Cricetulus griseus: one gene and its partner. The protein of the gene in region 1 interacts with the protein of each later gene in a biochemical or structural test. Links are inferred from orthologs where the notes say so. Each region holds a gene or a part of one and is shown in the gene's direction. Other genes may lie near its edges.

Evidence for each region.
Region 2: of the proteins of microtubule-associated protein tau (region 1) and Cdk5, one has a biochemical effect on the other in vitro, tested with the Homo sapiens proteins (10 studies listed by BioGRID and IntAct, with this or other methods). The link is inferred for Cricetulus griseus from reciprocal best matches to the Homo sapiens genes MAPT and CDK5.

What each region holds. Positions count from the first base shown.
Region 1 is NC_048600.1:117,359,753-117,363,252, forward strand, and holds part of microtubule-associated protein tau, read left to right. Parts: intron 1-2,871; coding exon 2,872-3,087; 3' UTR 3,088-3,500. UniProt on the Homo sapiens protein: Promotes microtubule assembly and stability, and might be involved in the establishment and maintenance of neuronal polarity.
Region 2 is NC_048601.1:98,098,650-98,102,827, forward strand, and holds the start of Cdk5 (cyclin-dependent-like kinase 5), read left to right. Parts: upstream 1-1,378; 5' UTR 1,379-1,471; coding exon 1,472-1,508; intron 1,509-2,085; coding exon 2,086-2,174; intron 2,175-2,252; coding exon 2,253-2,320; intron 2,321-2,419; coding exon 2,420-2,480; intron 2,481-2,587; coding exon 2,588-2,644; intron 2,645-4,014; coding exon 4,015-4,110; intron 4,111-4,178. UniProt on the Homo sapiens protein: Proline-directed serine/threonine-protein kinase essential for neuronal cell cycle arrest and differentiation and may be involved in apoptotic cell death in neuronal diseases by triggering abortive cell cycle re-entry. Interacts with D1 and D3-type G1 cyclins.

The sequences.
Region 1 (3,500 bases):
ACCTCAGTCTGATTCAGTGGGGCTGCAGCAGACCTGAGCTGGAGATTCCCTGGGTAAGGGAAGTTCTCAACCAGCCTGGGAACTTCTATGCCCTGGATGAAACTCTGGAGCACTAGAAACAGATAGAGGTTATTCCGGGCTACAGAGAATTAGTGCCAGCCTGGGCTACACTTGAGAACGTCTCTTGGAACCAGAAGCAGTTGGGCATAGTGGTGCACGCTTTTAATCCCAGCATTTGCTGAACATTTGGGAGGCGGAGGCAGGTGGATCTCTGAGTTTTCGGGTAGCATGGTCTACAAAGCAAGTTCCAGGACAGTGCGACCACACACACACACACACACACACACACACACATATGCACGCACACACACATGCACACACAAAGGTTTTTAATCAAAGCTTCTCTCAAGTACAGTAGTATAAAAGATCCCTCTTTACCAAAAAGAACAGCATATGCATGCAGCCTAAAGGAAAGGCTGATTTTTCTCTATGCCACCATTCAAGCTCCCAGCAAGGGTCTTTGACCTCAGAAGGTGTGTGGAAATGCAGTGTGTGTGTCACATACTTATGTGCACACATGGCTCAAAGCCTGGGATCTAGAACAAGGTGGAGGCATTTTGTATCCACCCTTTTGATGTAGAGACTGCTATACATGCCTCAGACTGCTTTCTGCTTCCCTTTGGGCTCCTGGCTATAACCCTGTATGTCTGCACCCCCCCCCCACCTATGTGTACATGCATATGCAGGTGAGCCCACCCGTGTACATACATGCGGAGACCAGAGCAGGTTGTCTTCCTCTATCACTGTCCACCTTATTGCCTTGAGACAGGGTCTCTTACTGAACCAGAAGCTTACTGTTTTTGCTAGGCTGGCTACGAGTGAGCTTCCGGGATGTACCTGTGTTCATCCCCAAATGCTCAGGTTACAGGTTACAGGCATGTGCAGACACACTCTGCTTCTTTTACTTAGGTGTAGAGGATTCGACCTCAGGCCTTTGTGTTTGCACAGAAAGCACTCCTACCCACTAAGACATCTCCTCCCCAGGCCTGTGATATCATTTCTTAAGAAGGGCTTCTTGCCGGGCATTGGTGGCACATGCCTTTAATCCCAGCACTCGGGAGGCAGAGGCAGAGGCAGAGGATCTCTGTGAGTTCGAGACCAGCCTGATCTCCAGAGTGAGTTGCCAGGATAGGCTCCAAAGCTACACAGAGAAACCCTGTCTTGAAAAACCAAAAAAAAAAAAAAAAAAAAAAAAAAGAAGGGCTTCCTGGCATCACAACTTCTAGCACCTGGAAATACCTTAATAACCTGTGACAAATGATGTGTGGCTGCTGGCATCAGTGATTCTGATTTTCTCTTTGGTGGCTTCTCCTTCAATTCTGTTAGCAGCAAGTTGGCAATGACCTAAGAAAACACAGAGTCCAGAGCAAGGGCTGTGAAGCAGCAGTACAGCATGTGTTCAGCATGCTTAAGGCTATGGGCTCCATGCCAGCGCAAGTCAATACATACACTTTTAGGATACACATGTAAAATGATGTGTGCAAGGTCACTGAGGGTTATTGCTACTCGGCATTGGTTGTAGTTGCAGAAATATGGGACTCCCTCCACTTCCACCGGCAGGGAGGAGATAGATTTTGTCACAGATGCTGTAATGGTGTAGAATAAGTAGCCATTGGTACAAGAAAGTCCCCTGTGGAATAACAAAGCATTAAGCCTGAACCTTGGTGACACACACCTGTAATCCCAGAAAATGAGAGACGGTCAAGCCTGATGCCCTGAGTTTGTTCCCCAGGCCCCAGATGTTAGGAGGAGAGGATCAACAAGTTGTCCTCTGATCTCCCCACATGCACTGGGGCACATGAACACACACACAGACACACCCACACCCACACCCACACCCACACACGCACGCACGCACGCACGCACGCACACTCGTAAAAAGATTAGATAAACAGCCAGGCGTGGTGGCACACGCCTTTAATCCCGTCACTCGGGAGGCAGAGGCAGGCAGATCTCTGTTGAGTTCGAGGCCAGACTGGTCTACAGAGTGAATTACAAGCAGGCCAGAGCTACATATTGGTATCCTGTCTCAAAGTAAATAGACAGATAAATTAATTAAAAACTAAGTGAGCAAGAATGAAGCAAGTATTAAGTATAAAAAGCAAAGGGCAAAGCCCTCCCATATGCGTTAAAGATACATGTGTTTACTTGCACATGCATGTGTGTTTCTATGTGTGGGCTATTTAAAGGGCATAGAAGCATTGTCACTGTCACTGGGCAGGCAGGTGAGGGATGGACCATGCACAATTATTGCTAGTTGGAAACAATACAAATAAGTAGGGGTGGTGGCTACTGGGGATGCAGGTTAATTAGCAGAGTGCTTGCCTAGCTTACAGGGAGCCCTGGGCCTGACCCTCACCATTACATAAACCGGCTGTGGTGGCATATACCCATGATTCCAGCATTGGGGACAAGAGGGCAGGAAGATCCAAAGTCCAAGGTCCTCATCAGCTGGATAGAGAATTCAAGTCCAGCTGTGCTACTTGAGAGAGCCTGTTTCAAGAATAAATGAATAGCCAGGTGTGGTGGTGAATGCCTTATAGCTCTAGGGAGGCAGAGGCAGGTAGACTCTGAATCCTAGGCCAGCACTGGTCTACAGAGCAAGTTCCAGGACAGCCAGGGCTACACAGAGAAGCCCTACATCAAAATAAAGTAAAATAAAATGAATGAATGAATGAATGAGTGAAATTAATTAATTAATTAATTAATTACAAGAGTGGTTTCCTCCCACCATAGACTCTGGTGTGTAGACAGTCTGGGCTCATCTGTTTTCCACAGGGTAATCGTTCATCTCACCCTAACTTCTTACAGATTGAAACCCACAAGCTGACCTTCCGAGAGAATGCCAAAGCCAAGACAGACCATGGAGCAGAAATTGTGTACAAGTCACCTGTGGTGTCTGGGGACACATCTCCACGTCACCTCAGCAATGTGTCCTCCACGGGCAGCATCAACATGGTGGACTCACCACAGCTTGCCACACTAGCCGATGAAGTGTCCGCTTCTTTGGCCAAGCAGGGTTTGTGATCAGGCCCCTGGGGCGGTCAATAATCGTGGAGAGAAGAGAGAGTGAGAGTGTGGAAAAAAAAAAAAAGAATGATCTGGCCCCTCGCCCTCTGCCCTCCCCGCTGCTCCTCACAGACCGGCTGACCGGCTTGTCACCTAACCTGCTTTTGTGGCTCGGTTTTGGCTCGGGACTTCAAAATCAGTGATGGGAATAAGTAAATTTCATCTTTCCAAATTGATTTGTGGGCTAGTAATAAAATATTTTTAAAGACAAACATGTAAAAACATGGCCAAACCCAACATTTCCTTGGGCAATTGCTATTGACTTTTCCCACCCCCACCCCACCCCATCCCCTTTTTGAGTATTAGAGGGTGAAGGAGGCTCTGGAGGCTACTTCAGGGGAGTTTTGAGGGACTAGGGCAACGGTTTGCCC
Region 2 (4,178 bases), on another chromosome or scaffold:
AAGCCCTGGCGTCTGCCTGGGAGGAAGCATGGCACGGGAACCGGAGGCCTGGGTGACCCTGACCCTGAGCCGACGGAGAACGGGACGGCTCGTTGAGGACTCCTCCTCGCTCGGCCAGAGCCACCTCCGCGCTGAGTGGAAGGCTGCGTGTCCGCAGTCGACGCTTGTACTTTAAAGACCTCTGCGTGTCGTGCATCCTGCCTTCTCGGCCAAAGCACCGGTTATTTCAGATGATAAGGGATGCACTTTATGCGTCTTTCATTCCCGGTTATTTCAGATGATAAGGGATGCACTTTATGCGTCTTTCATTCCGTCTGCCTCGTGGGTGAACCACGATCTCGTTTATGCAAAAGCACTCGGACTTAATAAGTCGATTAACCGATAGTTAGCGCTGCCCTGGTCCCGGCGCTGGGGAGGGAGGAACGCTGTCCGGGGCCGTTTGCGCCCGGTTCACAGCCAGCCCTCAGGAATGCAATCATGAGACAATTAGAGAGCAGTGCAGGAAAATCTATAATCAACTCCTTTGCGGGGTGCGGTAAAGGCTGCCTGCTCCCGCTGTCGCAGCGTCTGTGGCTCGTCTGCGGGGGAGTGACTGACCTGCCAGTCCTCGTGGGCCACACCCTGGCTGACTCCAGTGGGCCTGCTCTCAAGACTGGGATCTGGGGGGCACCCAGGCTGCAGTCTGCTGGCCTCGGCATGTCAGAGCGGGGCCCCCGCCGGAGTCCGCGGCTTTGGAGACCGTAACCGAGGGGTGTCTGGCGTGTGTCACACCGGCCTCTAACGGGCACACCTGCCTCGATGCCCGGCCCTGTGCTCAGCTGGCCCCTGTGCGGTCACCAGCAGTGGGACACCGCTCACAACCGTCCCCCCTCGGTCCCGGGGTCGCCAGGTGGCCTAGGGAGACACGGGGGGCACCGGCGCTGAAGCTGTCAGCGGGTCGCTGCCGACTCAACACACCCAACCAGGTCAGAGCCGGGCCCGCAGCGCCCGGGATCTAGGCCGTCCCGCGCCTGCTCCAGGCTCGGCGGGCGCAGCCGCCCCCACCCTCGCTGTATTCTGGAACGCGTAGTCCCTGAGCGGCCCTTTTCTGAAAGGCTGTGAACACAGAGAAGGAATAATAACAAGAGCGGGGCACACTGGGAGCCTCCGCGCCTTGGCGGAGACGCCCGACAAGCGGACACGCGATGCTTCCTGGGAATTGAAGTTTTAGGTTTGCCTCCGCGGTGGAAACGAGTCCCGGGAGTTGATCGCTGCATAGAGTCCGACAGCGGCCTGTTGGACTTTGTAGTCCTCGTGCCCTCCGCTACGGGCGTTCTTGGGGAACATGGCCACCCCGGAACTACAAGTCCCAGAAGCCTGTGCGTGGGGGAGTGGGTGGGCGGGGTTGGAGCTGTGGGTACCACCTCCTCTGCAACGCCGGGGCCGGGAGTCTTAGAACCGAGGGCCCGCAGGGGTCCCCGCGGCCGCTGCGATGCAGAAATACGAGAAACTGGAGAAGATTGGGGAAGGTAATGGAACCACGAGATGTTCCTGAAAGGTCCTTTTCTGAAGACCCTGCTTGCAGTCCCAGCTCCCTTACCGTCAGCTATACCTGCAGGCTCCGACCGCAGCACTGGGCAAAAGCCCTGGCCGCTGAGTCCAACACTCGGTGCAGACACCAGCCCTTCTCCCTGTGTTAGCATCTGCCGCAAACTCTTGCTCCTAGCTTTAGCAGTCTCTGTGGACCGTTTTTTCCTAGCCGCGGCACTTCCTGCATTTTTCACCCCTAGCCTCAGCATCACTTGCAAACCTCACCTGGAACCCCTGCTTCAATTCCCTGCAGAACTCCCAACCTTAACATTTTTTTTGCAGGCCTTTACCGCTCTCCTAGATGACTCCTCGATACTTCCCGACCCACCCCCACCCCCACCCCCCGAGCTTATGGCAGATTCTCCCTGCAGCTGGAGCCTTGAACCGGTTTAGGGACCTCCACCTTAGCATCCTCACTCACAGAACTACTCCATACCTAGCCTTCACCTGAAAACTTGCCCTTGCACACTAAGATGTTGAGGAGGATCCTCTCCCTCACCCCCGACCTTCCCCTAGGCACCTATGGAACTGTGTTCAAGGCCAAAAACCGGGAAACCCATGAGATTGTGGCTCTGAAGCGTGTGAGGCTGGATGATGACGATGAGGTAAGACAGAGGCATGGGGGGAGAGGTGCAGGGCCTGTCTGGGGTGGGCTGTGACTACTGTCCCCTTGCACATTGTAGGGCGTGCCAAGTTCAGCCCTCCGGGAGATATGTCTACTCAAGGAACTGAAGCACAAAAACATTGTCAGGTGAGGTCTCTTGGAGGAGACAGACCCCCATCAGACTGGACTGTATTGGGATGCTAGAGGCCAGCTTGGGGATCTGTCTGAGTCTTCCATTCTCTCTAGGCTTCATGATGTCCTGCATAGTGACAAGAAGCTGACGTTGGTTTTTGAGTTCTGTGATCAGGTGAAAGAGGGCTGGGTGGTGGGAGAGGTTAGTGCTCATGGGAGGGTATAGGAGTCCAGACTAAAGCTGAACTCTGTTCTCTGCTCCACACCCTCATCTATATTTAGGACCTGAAGAAATATTTTGACAGCTGCAATGGTGACCTGGACCCTGAAATTGTGAAGGTGAGGAGAGAAGTGTCTGGGATTTATGGAGTTAGGGTGTGCCTAGGATATCCATCAGCTCTCCTTGAGTAACAGGTTGAGCTCCTGGAGTACCAGAGAAAATCTGTTTCTGCCTTCCAAGGGCTACTAGTCTTAGTGAACATTTTTATTCGGTCTCCTTTGACTTGCACAGTGTCTGATTTCAGTGATATCATATGCACATAAGAAATATCTCATGGGTTCAACAAATACCAGCCCTGCGTAGTGGCAAATACTTCTAACTTTAGCACTCGGAAGTCTGAGGCAGGAGGATCTCAAAACCAGCCTGAGCTGCATAGCAGGGCCTTGCTTCAAACATCAGGGCAAAAACAAAACAAAAAGATTAGAGTGATGGCTCAGCAGTTAACTCATATTAATTACTCTTGCAGATGATGAGTTCAGTTCCCAGCAACCACACAAAGTGGCTCACAACCACTTGTAACTCCAGATCCAGGGGATCCAGTACCTTCTTTTGGCCTCCAAGGGCACATACCCCCCCTACACACATGCATACATAATTTAAAAATTAAGTAAATCTTGACAGAGAGAGAGTGAGCGAGAACAAGAGAGAGAGAAAGGCAAACAAAACAAATATATGCTGTAGGTTTTGCTTTTTACCAGGCACTTTTCTAGGCCCAAGACCAAGTACCGTGGCCCAGGTTCCAAGGGAATCAGGTCCTGAGTAATACTATAGCTTTGTATTTGTGTTGATGGTCAAGGTGTGTGTGCTAAATTGCAGCCATGTAGGGAAAACCAGCATGGACTGGAGATGCAGGAGGGCCCACCAACCATCAGTTAAGAAAGGTGTGAGGCCGGGCAGTGGTGGCGCACGCCTTTAATCCCAGCACTCGGGAGGCAGAGGCAGGCGGATCTCTGTGAGTTCGAGACCAGCCTGGTCTACAAGAGCTAGTTCCAAGACAGCCTCCAAAGCCACAGAGAAACCCTGTCTCGAAAAACAAAAAACAAAAAACAAAAAAGGTGTGAGTAGCAAGGAAAACTTGGTTACTGTTGTACCTCTACTACCTAGTGCATGCAAAGCAGAGTCTCACAAGTAACTCGATGAGAGGCTGAAAAGATAGTTCATTTGTTAAGAGTACTTGCTGCTCTTGCAGAAGACTCTGTTCCCAGTATTCATATTGGGTGGCTCACAACTACCTGTAACTTCTGTTCCAGGAGATCCTACCCCTTCTTTTGGCTTCCACAGACACACACACACACACACACACACACACACACACACACACACACACGCACTAAATTACAGAGTAATTGGATAGACTTCTTGACTTGCTGCAAGTCATATGGGCTATAGGACACAGTGGGTCTGACTCCCTCTTCCCTGCCTCTCCCAGTCATTCCTCTTCCAGCTGCTGAAAGGCCTGGGATTCTGTCACAGCCGCAACGTGCTGCATAGGGACCTGAAGCCCCAGAACCTGCTCATAAACAGGGTATTTCTCCGGGAACAGGGAGTGAGGTTGCAGAAGCTGGAGCCTGGGATGGGGAGCATAGTGAGTAG